Linked DNA regions of Rattus norvegicus. The protein of the gene in region 1 interacts with the protein of each later gene in a biochemical or structural test. Links are inferred from orthologs where the notes say so. Each region holds a gene or a part of one and is shown on either strand. Other genes may lie near its edges.

Region 1 (5,548 bases):
GGATTGTCAAGTTCTAGTCTTGTTTCAATTACAGAGCAGGTTCACAGTCAACTCAGTGAGACCCTGCCGGAAAAACTAAGTCTAAAAAGGCTCCACCAGTACCTAATAGGTTCGGTCACTAGAGTTAAAATAACAATAAAATAAAACAGAAGGAATTCTTGGGAGAAGCCTGTGACTATTTTAAGGCTTAGGCAAAAAAACAAAAAAAAAACCAAAAAAACAAAAAAAAAACAAGAAACATGAAACTATAGTCATTAGCCATTTGGACTGAAAAAAAAATCTACAAATAATTTAATCTACTAATGTGTAATTTAGTCTGATTAAAAATCAAGAGTTTTAATAGTAAACTACCTTAATTTCCATAGTGGGAACAACAACGTCTTCTAAATTCTTCAGTTTAGTGATTGGCTGGTTGGCTGGAATGCTGATGCCTTCTGCATTAAGAATAAAGGGGTTTTAGTGGCAGCTGTAAATGGAGACTAGCGCTGCAGACCAAGCTGGAGCTGCGGCAACGACTCGTTCACACATACTTCTCTGGTTCCTCCACTGAGAGGCATCCAGGTTCGCCAGGATGATGTAGGCATCGCAGAGCGCCTCCATGTCCTTCACCATTGTACGCCTCGCACTTCTGATTGTATGGATTATTCTGCTTGCAGCCTCTGCTCGATCCTACCATCAACCACAAAGAACAAGAACCACCCAACTGGTAAGCTATACAACAAGAATGTATGCACCCATCTGGATGACGGAAGGACTATAGTTCTTCAGATACAAACAGAACACCCACCCAGTGGGTGAAATGCACACATAAGGACATTCAAGGTTAATGACCTGGGCACTTTTCAAATATCTGTTTTTCTGGGCCCAGAGAGATGGCTCAGTGGTTAAGAGCACTCGCTGCTTTTTCAGAGGACCCAGGTTTGGTTCTCAGAACCTGCATGGCAACCCCAGGTCCAGGGAATCCAAAAACTTCTCCTGGCTTCTGTAGGTGCCGGATATACATACGGTGCAGGCCAACCATTCGTGTACATTAAAAATAAACGAATATATTTTTTTTTAATTCTGGGGTTTGTTGTGCCCACTGCTTCATGAAAATAAAATCAAACTGGCATTTATGCTCTGGGACATGTTTAGGAATTGTTAACCAATTCTGGGTGGCAGCTCCATAATACAGGATACAGAGCAGTACCAGAAACGTGCATCCTTAACGTCTCTGAGAATTAAGACAGGAATGTTCTGGGAAAGAACGACCATCACCACACAAAAGCATTCTTGTATTTAACCCAAATACCTCATCAAGCTGAGAGCTTTCTTTGGGTGCATTCTTGGTTATTCTGCCCCTTCTTGCTGTCTCTGGTTTGCTCAAAAACTCATCTTTGTTTGCATTTGCTAAGGCCAGGATGATGAACAAGGTGTGATGGGGGTGATCCATTGAAATCCTAGAGATGAGCTATCAGAAGATTAATAACTGTTAGTTTCATGCGAATAGAAAAAAAATTTAAATATACATTTTTCGTATTACCTATCATCAAATTCAAGTTAATGTCATTATTGTACAGTAAGTAGCGTGTGTATCTGTCTGTGAGAGAGAGCTACAGCTGAATGTCAGACATGAGAGACAAACATCTGCAATGAAAGAGAAAATTTAATACTTTGATTTCTCATTTTTACTAATATAAAAGACAGGTAATTATTACATTTTTGACTTCAAGTCTACTTACATTATTGAGGACTTCATGAAATCCTAGGCCTCCTGTCATTTTGGTCCCCATTCTAGCAGCCAATTGGTACATGAGAGGCAAAAACTTATAGGAGGAAATCTTCATTCCATCTCTCTGCCATTAAAAAAATGCAAAATATAGAAACGTGTGTGTAATATAATCTTACATCTAAGCCAAAATAATGGTTTCTAAAATAATGGTCCTCCACTAAGTACACCCTAGTGGCTGTCAAAACTTTACCAATTAGACAATTTCCCCTACCTGAAAGTCTTTCTAGTGCAAAGCCTAGGTGATAATAAAATTCACCTAGTGATTCAGTGATAATAAAAATACTTAGCCCTCAATCAAACTGTACCCAGAGCTGGTATGCTAACCACCACATCCATTCCAGTGACTCCGAGGAGGACAGATTTGAATCCAAGTCTACTGTGGTCTCAACTCCCAAGAAGTCAGGGGCAACAGACTCAAGTTCCTTTCCCCATATGCCAGAGGCAATTAAGTTTAACACACACACACACACACACACACACACACACACACACACACACACACACACAGTGGAACAGATTAGTTTTGTTGATTTTGAGTCTTACCAGTCTTTCCATTCTGTAGAAACATTTTATGTATCTACAAACAGAAACTTCAAACTAAATGACAATATATATTTATTTTATGACCACATCTTAAGATTTCTTTTCACAGGCTGGAGAGATGGCTCAGTGGTTAAGAGCACTGACTGCTCTTCCAGAGGTCCTGAGTTCAATTCCCAGCAACCATATGGTGGCTCACAACCATCTGTAATGAGATCTGATGCCTTCTTCTGGTGTGTCTGAAGACAGCTAGAGTGTACTCATATACAATAAATAAATCTTAAAAAAAAAAAAAAGATTTTTTTTCACTAAAAACTTACAAGTACTCCTGTATATGCTGTGATTTTTTTTTTATTTGTAAAAGTGCTCTATTGGAAAAAAGAGCCCTCAAAAACACAAACAAAAGCAAGGAAAATTCTTGCTTAGTGTCACATTGTTTTTGTTTCCTCTTCTCCAGTGTAGTTCTATGGACTCCTCTATGTCATCTGCAAAGGTAAAACGCTAAGAGAAGTTCCATTGCCTCCGCACAAACCCATGTCACTTAGAGTTTACAAAGTGCTTATCTGTGGAGCACCAGACCCATTACAAGGGGTACACAGACACTGAGGAGGCCATGGCCTCCGTTTAAAGTGTATGGGTTAGGTAAGACTTGCCTTCATCATGCCATTGACTTCAGAGACTCCAGAATTTTCCAGCCAGAGGGAGCAGAGTCGGAACACCCACAGATCATGTTCTTCTCCGCTTAGTAAGCAGCTGATGTAGTTCTCAACTGCTTTACACAGGAAGCGTTTACGGTCCTCTTTCAGTGCACGGAGAGCACATTCATCTAGCTCCAGTTCTCTCTGAACCTTTATTGTGTATCTTGCATTTGATAAATTCAAACATAAAAGTCACAAAACTTTACGTAACTATAAAATCGTACATGATATACAACATAAACGAAAACCAAGGCGTTTACTCCAAAAAACCCTAAATATAATATAAAGGAACTAAATGGCTTGTCACACCAGCAATTACTAGGTCTTCCACACACCCACGGACAGAGTAGACTCCAAGTTAGTTCTCTGCTTACTCTAAACACACAAGAACCTAGTGCAGACTTAAAAGTAGCGTGACGACATCAAAGCAGGCAGGTCTTCTATACTTAGTGTGTATCTAGCAAAACAAACTAACATCCATGTACTCTGCCAAGAGCTAAACCAAGACATTAATTATTCGGAGGAAAACACGGCAGTGTATTAACCGACTGCAGTTGTGATTAACCAGGAGAGGATTGAGGAAGCCTGTAAAAATGCTAATTTAGGTGTTCAAAACTGTAATTCAGATGACAAGCTCAAGGCGGTCTTCCTGTAAAACGCCCTTTAGCGTATAAAGTTACCTGTTCGTCTGAATTTTATGCTCCCTTATAAGACCCACTTCTTCCTTGGCTCTTTTTAAGAGAGCTTGCTTGTTTTCGAATTCGGACGACTTCATGTAGTTCTCAATCCTCTGGTACTGCGTATCAGAGAACCGCGCTAATGAGAGGAAGGCCTTCATCTGTCCATTTCTGAGCTCTCGGCTGTCGCCATCATAACTGCCAGCAACCTTCACTGCCTTCAACAACACACAATCCATTAAGACCATGTTTATAAGCATAAATAGAGCTAGACTCGCAGCCCAAGGCAACCCACTCACTTCTAGATGAACGAGAAACTTGATGGTACGGAACCCTTATCAGGTAGCAGTTGCACTGAACTGTCCGAGAATGAAGCTCTTTAGGATGGGAGACAACACATCTTACTTTTCATACTAAACTTCCGGTCTCCCAAATTAGTGACACTAAAGGACAGAGCAGGCGAAACAGGAAGGCTAACGGGGACTCGAGAACTGAAGTCCTGACCCTTACTGTGAGTAGCTGGACTACACACAAATGGCAAAGGTGGCTTCTACGTTTGATAAGATATTCTGTAGAGTAAATGCAGAATAATCAGAAATGGCTTCCTGAATGGTGGGGCTACAGAGTGGACGGAAGACACTCAAAGTTGTTCCTTCCTTGGTGGCATTTGCTTCATTCTGCTCTGGGGATTACAGAGAGCCCCAGCAGGAACTGAAGGAATGAAACCACACTTTCGTTTTCTTTTGAGATGCATGCAGGCTTCATAAGAGGATTAAGCATATTTACAGTAGACAATAACGTTCAGAGCTGCACCAACAACCTACCTTTTCTAGATAGGTCTGCATGATGACTGCAGGATTTTCTAGGCAAGTCTCTGCCAGCCAGTTGCCACAAACCCTCAGACACTCTGCGTGTAGGCCTTTTAGACCTGCTTCATTCTGTATCAAGAAGCAAGAATCTTAAAATGTAGTTCCTTTTCAAGATTACAAAAGTGTCTTCTGTGTAGGTAGAAAAAGACGATGAAAAATATTTTTCCTCATGTTTTTACCATATAAGGAAATACTTCTAAGTATGTGAGCTTATGAAATAACCGCCCTGAACTGTCTAGCTATTACTAACAACTCGCATTTACTGAGTACTTTACAATGCCAGGAAATTTCCAACAGCTTTATGCATATTAACCCATAATTTTCACAGGAATACTATAGATTAGATATATCATTATTACCTACTTGCCAGTGCAAAGACTCAGGTACAAAACCACTGCACATGTTAGGGTCTACACTATTTAGGAAATACTTAAGTAAGTTATACTGTTACCTAGTACTTTGTTATAATTAATAATAACTCATGACCCTACAATGTCCTACACTGTCCACTGAGTGTGAATATGTTCAGAGCACAAAGAATGACAAATTGTTGTTACTTGTTTTCTACTTTTCTTCTCCCAGACATTTCTAATTCTATTTTTGTTCTTGCTACTTCGAAGTTACAACGTGTATTTCCATTCATTTCCTACATATTATTTTTGACTTCTATAGAATATAAACTGAATGAATATACTTCAAGACAGATTGATAGATTTAGGAAAAAGTTTTCAAGTCTCATTTCTGACATTAATTTTCAAGGTCTCTTTCATATTATTTTGTTTCTGGATCAGTGATTTCAAAGCCTTAATGTGACCAGTACAGACGTATTCTGCAGCAGACATCTTTTGGAGGACATAAAACACCGATGCAGCCAACCACACAGGACACACACCTCTCTAAAGCTGGAGTCCAACTTCTTGATCATTTGCTTGAGGATACTCAGGGCAAGACTCTGCTCCTTCTTTGCCCAAAATACTTGTGCTTCTTCCAAAT
Region 2 (5,548 bases), on another chromosome or scaffold:
CTTTCCTCCATCTCCTGGGCTCCCAGAGATTATTGGGGCTGATGCAAGACCCTCAAGATCCTTCACCCCAGCAGGCTTTGGTGTTAGACTGGCAGTTTGCCCTCTCTGTTCATGGCTCCCTTCCTCTGTCTCCCCTCTATCTGGGCTTACTTCTAAACTCCCATTCTCTCTCTGGTTCTGCTTTCTCTGCTTTTCTCTCTCTCTTCTGTGAGTCTTTGGACATCTCCATTTCTACCTCCAAACTCTCCCTCTTCTCTTCAGGGTCCTCGCCAGCCTCTTTTCTGACTGTCTTTAGCTAACACCTTCTTTGACTCTGTCCTCTGTCCCCTGAGTTAGTTCTTTTCCTATCATATCTTCTCTCTCACTGTTTGCTCTTCTTTCCGATTTCCCTCTCCAATGGCTCTCTCTCAGGGGTCACCCTTTCTGCCATTTCCTTTGGTATACCCATGGCTTTCTCCACAGTCTGCATCTCTCTGTCATCAATTCTCAACAGCTCTGTGTGATCTAGGCTGGTAGGGACCGGATGTTGGTGTCCTGGTGGTTCCCCAGGTAGAGATGGTTGAGATCCATGAGCTTCATGGGTGTCAATGGGCTCAGAGGTCTCTGTCTGTTCTCTCAGACAGAACGGCTGTGTAGCCAAGACTTCCCAAGGCACATCCAAGGTATCTGCACCTAAACAAGGATCAGAAAAAGGAGGTAAGTACATGGGTAAACAAAATCACTAAGGCTGAGAACTAGGGCAGACTCACAAACAGCTAAATGGGTTACAAAAGGAAATCTGGGAGTAGGGTAGTGGCTGTAATGTTGCTGCTATTCAGAAGATTATAACCTCATACACAGGCTCCCTCAGGAGGCTCATTTGAAAAACAAGGATTGGGGATGTGGTTTAGGAAAACACTCATCTTAGGAGAATACTCATTTGTCACAGGTAAAACCCTGGGTTCAAACTCTAAGGAGAATGTAGAGGGAAAACCAATTTGAGTCTTTGGGCCAACCTAAATCTCCTGAACTAGAATCAGGATAATCTAGGCAATCTCATTTTTATTTATTTTTTTAACATGTATTTTAAAATTTTCTATTCATACGTATATCATGTGTGTGGGTACACAGAGAGCGATGAATCTCCAGGAGTGGAGTCACCGGTGGTTGCCAGCTGCCTGACATGGGTGCTGAATTCTTGTCCTCTAGAACAACAATGGCCACTCTTAACCATTGAGCCATGCCCATGTTGTTGGATTTTGTTGTTGTTGTTTCTGAGACAAGTTCTCATTTAGTCAAGGCCTCAAACTTTCTATGCAGTCCAGGATGGCCCTGAGCTCCTGCCTCTGTCTCCCAAGTTCTGGGAGACAGTGTGTGTCCCCATGTCTGGTATAAGTTTCTTTTCCTGATGAAATGGAGAACATCAGTAAAATAGGGAAAGAATATGAAAGGCAGGGCTGGGAATACAGCTCAGTTGGGAGAGCTCATCCAGCATTCATGACGTCCTAGTCCATCCCTAGCTGATGACACACACCTATAATCCCGGCACTTGGAAGATCAGCATAGGTAAATCTAACAAGACAGCATATGAAGGATGTGGAGGGAAAAATAAGAAAGGATGCAAGGCTGGGGGTCCAGAGACTTCCGTGTACCTGGAGTCGGGAGGCTGAGATGGGAAGGTCCAGGCTCTTGGGGAAGGCATGGGAAGACTTGGGTAGGCTCATCTTCCAAACTCTGGACAGCTGTAGAAGAAAAGGTGGGCACAACGCAGCTGTCCCAGAATCCCATCCCCCTACTTGGCCACATCGCCTTTCAAGGACCACTGGTCTGATCGCCCAGCTCTCCCTGGCACTCCCATCCAAAGCACACAATGTCCTCACCTCCTGGGTGCTGGCTCTCCCCTTCCACAAAGCACTGGGTGGCTGAAAGGCACAGATCCTCAGGTTCTGGTGGGAAGAGATGAGAGACAAATAAAAATCAACTCATCCCGAAGACTCCTGCAGTTCTCTCCTAAGCCTTATTTAAGGGTCAAACGCAGAGCAGAGGGCAACACTTACCATCACAGCACTCTTTGGCATGCTTGGTCCCGCCCACATGTGCTTCTCTTTCCCTTCCTGTGGGGGTCTGGGCTCCCTCTCTCTGTGGCAGGGTAGGATCCCCTGAAGTATCTGTGCGTACCACCACCTGCTCCACGGGTGCTGCAGGTGACCTGCTCTGAGCCCCGACCTCAAGAGCACTTTTCTGTTCAGAAACAGCTGCAGCACACTCTGTCCCAGCATCTTCCGCTACTGGCTGCTGGCTCATTCTTATGTCTGCCACTGGTGAGGATGAGCCTTCCTGCACAGCTGTTTCCCGGGCTTCCTCAGGAGGCTGGGCTCCCTCTAGAGGCACCTGGTGTTTCTCCCCCAGGGTAACAGATGGCCCTGGGACTTCCTCCTCCACTTGTGCTCTGTTCTTGTCTACCAGAGCAGAGGAGGCCTTCTTTCCCTCTAGATGGCTGCCAGGGGAGCTCATATCCACATCCTCGTCTACATCATTGGGCCTACAGGGAGGCTGGCTCTCTGGCTGTGTGACAGTAAGAGTCTCATCTACATCCATGGGGCTGTCAGGGACAATCTCTCTCTTTCCCCCTGAGGATCCCTCCTCCACGTCAGTGTCACTGTCTCTCCCAGAGGCACTCTGGCTTCGTTCTACAAGGACCTGTGGTTGGGACTTGACCTCCTCTGTGCCTGGCTCTCCACTCCACAAAGCAATTCCTCTCTCCTTCAGACGGGCCAAGGTGAGTGCTGCCGAGACCTCTTCCTCCTCACCCCTCTCCTCCTCGTCTGTATCACTGTTGATCACCATGGCTGTGTGGCTTCTCTCTGGAGGGGCAGCCAGTGCAGTCTTGTCCTCCTCCACATCTGTGTCACTACCAGTTGGGCTGTCCTGCAGATGTGCCACACCACGTGCTCCTGGACCCCCTATACCAACCCCAAGCAGTACTTGGTTCTTCTTCACAGGGACCCTCTCTTCTTCTACGTCCGTATCACTATCCCCAGAACCAGAAGGCTGACGCTCTTCATCCGCTTCTGTGTCACTGTCTTCCCCAAGAGTGGGGCTCCCCTCCACAACTGACCCAACTGGAACCCCTGCACTGCCTGCCTCCTCCTTCATCTTTGTGTCCTTGAACTTGTCCTTGGTAGGCTGAGCCAGTGTGCCAGTTGTCACTCCATTCACTTCAGGCTGCTCAGGCTCCCCTGCGGCACCACTGTTGTCAGCTAAAGAAGATTCCTCTACTCCTGGTTGCTGACCTTGTGATTCATCTGTGTCACTTCCCAAACCAAAGGGTGAAGATGGCCCAGGGACACTTGGGCCTGGAGAAGAGCCCTCTTCATCACTGCAAAGAAAAAGGATCTATACAGTGTGTTTCCTGGCTAGAGACACCCGCTCAGCTGTGAGGACCGTAAAGCAGGCACTGCTGGTAGCTGTTTTCTCCTCCCCACTAAGTACATCAGCAGTACTCATCATGGTTTAATTCAGCTGAGGAAATAATTATGCGAAGGCCCTCAGCTCCACCTTTCAAGGTAATCATCTGCCAGGCAGTGGTGGCCCACGCCTTTAATCCCAGCACTTGGGAGGTAGAGGCAGGTGGATCTCTGAGTTGAAGCCCAGTTCTAGGATACCCAGGGCTACAAAGAGAAACCCTGTCTTAAAAAAATAAATAAAAATAAAAATAATAAAATAAATAAAGTATGTGCTTTGGCTAATAAAAAAAATAAAATAAAATAAAACCCCCCAAGACAAGACAAAACAGAAAACCAATCATCTCTTCAAGATTGACTCCTTGTTCAAAGGCTTAATTGTCTAAAAGCAGGTATGGCGGCTTAACCCTGCAATCTCAATACAGAGTCTGAACCTAGAGGATTACCACGAGTCTGAGACCAGCCTGGGCCACAGAGACTCTGTCTGAAAAATACAAAAACAAAAACAAATGATTCAGGTATCTGGACTTTGGTACCCACCTTTCTGGAACTACTGTTGCTGAAGGGGATGCTGTATTCCTTGATCCATTTGCCACAGACCTTCCAGAAGGAAAATCTGGCAAGAATAAGAAAGAATAAATTGAGTTTATATCAATATCCCTGTCTTTTCACACATATACCCAAGGCACAAACTTACCTCCTTCTTCCTCTGAATCCTCAGCCAACAAAACTCTGGAATTTTGGGATCTTCCCCGTATTCTGGGGGTCTTCTCTATAGTTAGAAGACTCCGAGGGACCAAGGGTGGTGGGACATTCAGGCGATGGTACTGGCAGGGAAAGTCTGCAAACAGAATTAATTCCTGGTCCCTCAGACGATGGCTCACTCCAGGAGCTAGGACCCTAGGAGGCTTTACGATTTGAGTGCCATTGAGGCTCCCACAATCCTGAAGGATAGGGGCTTTGTTCCAAGCTGAGATTTCAATCACTGCGTGCTGTTTGGAGATGGATGGAAAAGGCAGGGCCACAGAGCAGTCAGGGCTTCGACCAACTACATTCTTGCCAAGGTAGAGTGGGAAATCTGAGGATCAGAGAAAAGATATGAGTGTAAGGCCAGAGTCCTGCCCTGAAGATGTTCTGGTTAGATACGCTAACCATTAACAACCAACAACAAACCCTGAGGCAGGGCACGCCAGCACAGAAAAGCATTTATAATGTACCACTCATCAGCAATGTTCTATCTACTCACATTATTTTTGTTTTTTCCCAGCTGCTCAACTGTGAAAACAGAGCGCCCTCACGCATGCTAGCTAAGCAATCTCCCTCTGAGCCATGGCTATAGCTCTTGTTTTGTTTTTTGATTTAGGGTCTTCCATGTAGCCTAGGTTATTTTCAAATTCACTATGTGGCCTAGGTTACCCTCAAATTCTCGAGTCACCTCCTGAGTACAGGGATCAAGAGCAGTAAGCACTTTTAATCACTGAGCCATCTTTTTAGTCCCCACATTGTATTTTTATTTGAAGCTCTTCATTTTCTCTTGACAAAAGAAAATCACTCCTAGAAAATCCAGGTCACCAGCCTTGAACAGTCAACTCAGGTGGCCTCTTTGGCATCCTTTGTAGTACAGTTATTCATATCCCCTTTGAAACCTTCTAACTTCTTCTAATAAGACCCACATTCATACTTTAGCTCCCAATATCCCCTGACCTCGTTCTGGTCCATGGGTACCACTGAAGAATCGCAGCCGCCCTATAGGCTCCACACTATACCCCAAGGATCCACTGGATATTTCTGTCTCTTCCTCTTCTTCAGCATCCCAGTCAATCACCTGAGTGTTTTCCATATCTATAAAGGAAACACATTATCATTGCTCCTGTCAGAAAAAAAATAACTAGAGGTAAACCTGGGTAAATGTGGAAATGATCTCTCTCTCTCTCTCTCTCTCTCTCTCTCTCTCTCTCTCTCTCTGAGATTGGGCTTCTCTATGTAGCCCTGGTTGTCCTGGAACTCACTTTGTAGACCAGGCTGGCCTCAAACTCAGAGATCCCCTTGCCTCCGCCTCCCAAGTGCTGGGATTAAAGATGTACACAACCATGGGTGATGATTTT
Region 3 (5,548 bases), on another chromosome or scaffold:
TATCTCCAGACCTTTCCAAGTAATCTTACAAAGTTAATCGTAGAATAATTCATAGACATTTTTTAACATCTAAGATAGTAAAATCTGGAATTAGCTAACATAGCATTATATATGCTAGTATGTTAATTTCCACAAATTTATCACCTTGATAAAGTGACTAATAGTCATGAACTCATAGCTCTTGATTGAACAGTGAATTATCCATTTTCTGTGCGCATACCACTCAGGATAGTATAATTACCCAGAGGTCACCGATAATCCTAAATTAATTTACTTCTGTTATACAATAACTTAATTAGGTACATTGGTACCACATTTTTTTTTTAACTTTCCTTTTAATGCAATTATAATCCATTATGAAGAGCTGGGAACAAACCTCAGTTGACAGGGTGTATTCCTACCATGTGTGAAGGTTTGATTCTCAGCACTTGCCCATCATATGCGCGTGCACACCAACACACACACACACACACACACACACACACAATTTATGAAATTGCTCAGGTAAAATTATAATTTTTAGGTTTTTTTTTTTTTTTGAAAACTTGATCCTTGGATTTATCTGAGGAGTCAATCATATTTTTCAGTTCCAGTATCCAAAGATCATGTATTTCAAACAAGATAAGAACTTACCTTTCAAGTAACTTTTTCTTTGCACTGTTGTGTAAGGTTGACTTGGATGAGTGCTGAGTGATTTTCATTTGCCAGATAGTAGCTATTGTGCTTCTTCATCAGCAGTCAATAGAAGGCTCTGTGAAGACCCAGACAAGGAGCTTAGAACTAGATAAGGTGCATCTAAATGAGAGTCTGTCTCTAGTTTTTTTTTTTTTGGTTCTTTTTTTCGGAGCTGGGGACCGAACCCAGGGCCTTGCACTTCCTAGGCAAGCGCTCTACCACTGAGCTAAATCCCCAACCCCCTGTCTCTAGTTTTAAACTTCATGAGACAATCATAATAACTGAGATCCAGGGTATTTCACATCTTTCATTGATGAGATTTTTGGTGGGGATGATGGGTAGTAGGTAGGTGCTAGAGACTGAACCCAGCCAGGGCCTTGGATATTAATGTATTAATGGTTTTTCTTTTTCTTTCCTTAAATATTACTAATTTCATTTATTTATTTTGAGATGATGTCTTACTATTTTTCCCAGGCTAGTCTTAAACTTGTAGCTCAAGTGACTTTTTTTTTTTTTTTTTTTTTTTTTTTTTTTTTTGCCTTAGCTCCTTGAGAAGTGTCATGGCTTTCTAAGTGCACTACTGACAAGTTTATAAATTGCTCTAAAAGTTAGAAAATATAATTCACTGAGAGAGGGCCTTATTAATCATACTTTTAACAAACATTTATTGGGTGCTTCTTATATTAATTAATTTTCTACCTGTAAAAATGTATTTACAATTAAAGCAGCAGGTAGTAAACCATTATATGAGGGAGTTGACGGTACTGTAAAGAAAGTATTGTTGTAAAGCAGGACCTCCTTGGAGTTGAAATAAGTTCAAAAAGAGTTTGAGTTTCACTTTTTTTTTTTTTTTGGTTCTTTTTTTCGGAGCTGGGTACCGAACCCAGGGCCTTGCGCTTCCTAGGTAAGCGCTCTACTACTGAGCTAAATCCCCAGCCCCGAGTTTCACTTTTTATGTTGTTTGTTACCATGCATTATTTATTGTAGTACAGTTCATAGACTTTATTTCTCACAGAAATTGGATATGGTTTCCTGAGTACACAGTTATTTGAATAAACCAAGTCTTCCTTGGTGGTGTTATTTTCTAGAGTAATTTCTCCTAGAATATGCTTTGCTAATTGCATGGGTTTAGTGTGTTTTAAAATTTTTATGTGGTATTAATTAAACTTGTAACAATAAAATTCATTGGGTTTTAGTTGCCATTACCCAGGGAGGAGCAATACAGCTGGCTAACAATGGTACCGATGGGGTACAGGGCCTGCAGACATTAACCATGACCAATGCAGCTGCCACTCAGCCGGGTACTACCATTCTACAATATGCACAGACCACTGATGGACAGCAGATTCTAGTGCCCAGCAACCAAGTTGTTGTTCAAGGTAATAGAATTAAGAATTCATACATACGGTACATTCTTTTAAAAATTACTGTGTATACTCATGAAAAGTAAGTATATTGCAAAGCACTACTAAAATAGTTTTCTTCAGTATAGATTTAGATATTAACAATTTAGATATGTATATATTAATACATAAATAAATATTCCTCATGAAACTTTCCATTATCCCACTTGGACGAAAATGTCATGGCATAAAAACAACTATCTTTTAGCTTTAAAAGGGTGATACCTGTCTTCAGTGCCTTCAGTAGTCAGGGGAGGGAGAACCAGGATGCGTTAGAAGAGAACTGAGGAAGCTGTGGCTAAGCTACATGGCTTCAGGTAACGCCCAGCTTCCTTGGGCCTCTTCCTTTCCCACCTCATTGTTTGCTACAGGTCACTATGGAAGAGCTTTAGTGGATTCTGCTCTCTGTTTTGTTTATCTGTTTTGTTTTTTAATTTTTACTTAAAAGGAATATAGAGATTTTCTCAAGTCATCAGTTTTGATTTCAGATAAAAACATTTCAAAAGAGCATATGTCATTATGCAAGTTTGCTCATTGGAGAGTAAGTTGTCCTTAAGTCCTCGACAGACTAGAGGATTTTGGGGGTTTTTTACCAAAATTTCAGGAGTGTGGAGAGTACTAACTCTTCTCCATTAATTCATTGAACAGTTCATAGTTTATACCGGATTAAAAATTTATAGAGTAAGAAAATTTTTGCTTCTAAAAATATTTTTGTTAATAATAACTAATTGCGTGTGTTAATGAGAGTCGTATCCCTTCACCATGGATATTACTTTTGGATCATACCAAAACACCAAGTAAACATCTTTTGTTTAATAAATTCTAATATATTTATATTATGTATCTTGTTACTAGACCAATGATATTTGAAAAAAAATATTTGCTTATTAGTGGGAGTAAAACACCTTTTCACTTTACATGCAGGTACTCAAAAAATTGTAAAGCAGGATGTCAGTGACTTTGAATTCTCAACGTCAGTTTGAATATGGTAACATGTTTAGTATATAAATCTTTGTCCCTCAAACAATACAATTGGTATTTTAAACTAATACGAATGATTTTATGAAGACCTTCAAGATCTCTCACATAGTGCTAGGGTACTTATTAGAACATATTATCACACTGTTTCTAGAAGCAAATAATGGACAAATGATTTTTTTTTCACATATGGAAATTGTATGGTTAGGAAAATCCAAAGCTGAGTGAGGTGACAACACATTTTAATCCCAGCACTTGGGAGGCAGAGACAGACAGAGGCAGGTGGATCTCTGAGTTCTAAGCCAGCCTGGTCTACATAGCAAGTTCCAGGACAGCCAAGGCTACATAGTAAGACCCTATCTTAGAAAACAGAAAAGAAAAATATCCAGCTCTTACGTATTTATTATCACTTATATTAAGATATGTTTACATATACCATGATTGGCATCAAATGTCCAGTTTTTCATACTTTGAGTTTTGTTTGAATTAGACATTTATAATAGTTTACCATATGCTCATTTTCTCTTCTGTTTTGCTATTTTATGAAAAATCATGTCGTTTTTATGTCGTGGCAAGAGTCTACTTGAGATTTTTAATGTGGCTTTATCCCAATCAAGGGAAAACACTGAGACCTTTATCTAGAAGAATCATCTGTGCTGGGCCCCGTTTTCCTTCTAGACTAAAGGTTGACAAGCATGTAAACCACATAATAGATCTCCATTCAGTACAGCATAACTATAAGACCCAGCAGAGACACTAAGGCATCCTTACCTGTACGTGTGCTAATAGTACAGTAGATTGGGATCTTCTTTTTAGCTAGGATCATGTTCCCTGTTTCCCTTTTAATCTAAGTATGTTTAGATTGATTGGAGACATAGTTGAATTAAATTGTTGTGTTTCTGTGTCTTATGACTTGTTCGCTCTTCTTTGCAGCTGCCTCTGGTGATGTACAAACATACCAGATTCGCACAGCACCCACTAGCACCATTGCCCCTGGAGTTGTTATGGCGTCCTCCCCAGCACTTCCTACACAGCCTGCTGAAGAAGCAGCACGAAAGAGAGAGGTTCGTCTAATGAAGAACAGGTATAGATATTCCAGACACTTAAATGCTATGGGTCAAGTATGTGTATGAACGCTTCTCTGCACACCTTTATATCTGCTAATAGTAGGTTCTATGCATTGACTTTCTTTTTCTGGTAGAATTCTGATAGATTTCTGGTGAATCTTGCTAATGCCTCTTTGTTTTAAGTTGCATTTATAAAGTGGCTAATGGGACTTTTGGTCAATCTTCAATCAAAAAGTAATTTTTTTCATAGTTTTTCCACAAGAGATTTAAAATGCATAGCTTTAATGAATTTGTATTTTATTCTAGCCAATAGGGTAGGTTAATTAAATTTTTTTCAAAAGTAATATTCCTCAAAGTGCATATGTATACTAACATTAGACTATAGTTTATTTGCATTAAATTTATTTGTAACAGATATACGGTAGTCATTTTTGTTTTAATGAATACTTTCTTTTGCATTTTTATGCACTTAAAGATTTATTATGCATGTCTTATGTATATGTGTGGATGCCCACATTTATACCATGAAGGGCAGAAGAAAGCATTAGATGTCTTGGATCTAGAGTGACAGAGTGACAGCCACCTGTCTTGTTCTTTGTTTTGGGGTCAGAATCTTGCTCTGTGGGCCAAAGTGGCCTCGAACTCTTGATCCTCCTGCCTCTTTGAGTGCTGGGATTACAAGTTTGTGCTACCATGCCTGGCCTTAGGAGGCATGTACTTTCTTACTCAGAATAATAATTTAACATCCAAACGCTTTTAAAATAGAGTAATTCTAAAAATATGGTATTCCTGACAAAGCCTTAATGCATAGTTAATGTTGGTCTTCAGAAATTAAAGTGTTGCATAGGAGAAGCTATAAAACATAGGTAAAGCCTTTCTTAGAAACTTATTTGCTTTTAGATCAGTTTGGTATCTAAAAACAAATGGAAGTTATTAATATGGAAATGGTCAAAACAAAACAAATACTCTGAGGAGGCCATTGGAGTGTTCACCACACAAGCAAGAACAGTGGAGTTCAGATCCCCAGAACTCATATAAAATGCTTGGTAGGGCCCTATAATCCCACTCTGATGGCAGAGATGGGGTTCCCCATGCAAGCTGGTCTGTAACTCTGGGTTTAAGAAAGCGATGTCTCAAGAGTAAGCTGAAAGCAACGTCGAGGAAGAGAGGAAGATAGCCTTCCCTTCACACACAAAAACATGGGGGATACCAGGGGCAGTGATGGGGGAGGGAGGGGGACAAAAAGAGAATCGAGGTATATAAAGATATCAACTCTTCGAAATTGACAAAATTCTTTTTACCTCAAGTGTCTAAATACTATGCTAAAGTAAATGAAACAGAAATTGTACTTAGAAGATCTAATTTCAAATCCTGCATTCACCCTTTAGCTATGATTCTGGAAGAACACATATTAATTTTCTAAAC

Evidence for each region. The genes of interacting proteins can lie anywhere in the genome.
Region 2: the proteins of Atm (region 1) and Mdc1 form a complex in vitro, tested with the Homo sapiens proteins (2 studies listed by BioGRID, with this or other methods). The link is inferred for Rattus norvegicus from reciprocal best matches to the Homo sapiens genes ATM and MDC1.
Region 3: of the proteins of Atm (region 1) and Creb1, one has a biochemical effect on the other in vitro, tested with the Homo sapiens proteins (2 studies listed by BioGRID). The link is inferred for Rattus norvegicus from reciprocal best matches to the Homo sapiens genes ATM and CREB1.

Annotation. Positions count from the first base shown.
Region 1 is NC_086026.1:62,743,673-62,749,220, forward strand, and holds part of Atm (serine-protein kinase ATM), read right to left. Parts: coding exon 5,442-5,548; intron 4,625-5,441; coding exon 4,511-4,624; intron 3,905-4,510; coding exon 3,690-3,904; intron 3,173-3,689; coding exon 2,965-3,172; intron 1,836-2,964; coding exon 1,722-1,835; intron 1,451-1,721; coding exon 1,292-1,450; intron 670-1,291; coding exon 531-669; intron 435-530; coding exon 352-434; intron 1-351.
Region 2 is NC_086038.1:2,907,026-2,912,573, forward strand, and holds part of Mdc1 (mediator of DNA damage checkpoint protein 1), read right to left. Parts: intron 5,286-5,548; coding exon of another isoform or gene 5,284-5,285; coding exon 5,148-5,283; intron 4,522-5,147; coding exon 4,141-4,521; intron 4,060-4,140; coding exon 3,984-4,059; intron 3,359-3,983; coding exon 2,037-3,358; intron 1,926-2,036; coding exon 1,860-1,925; intron 1,722-1,859; coding exon 1,632-1,721; intron 673-1,631; coding exon 445-672; intron 1-444. UniProt on the Homo sapiens protein: Histone reader protein required for checkpoint-mediated cell cycle arrest in response to DNA damage within both the S phase and G2/M phases of the cell cycle.
Region 3 is NC_086027.1:73,435,115-73,440,662, forward strand, and holds part of Creb1 (cyclic AMP-responsive element-binding protein 1), read left to right. Parts: exon of another isoform or gene 1-731; coding exon of another isoform or gene 732-751; intron 752-1,871; coding exon 1,872-2,054; intron 2,055-3,002; coding exon of another isoform or gene 3,003-3,066; intron 3,067-3,989; coding exon 3,990-4,140; intron 4,141-5,548.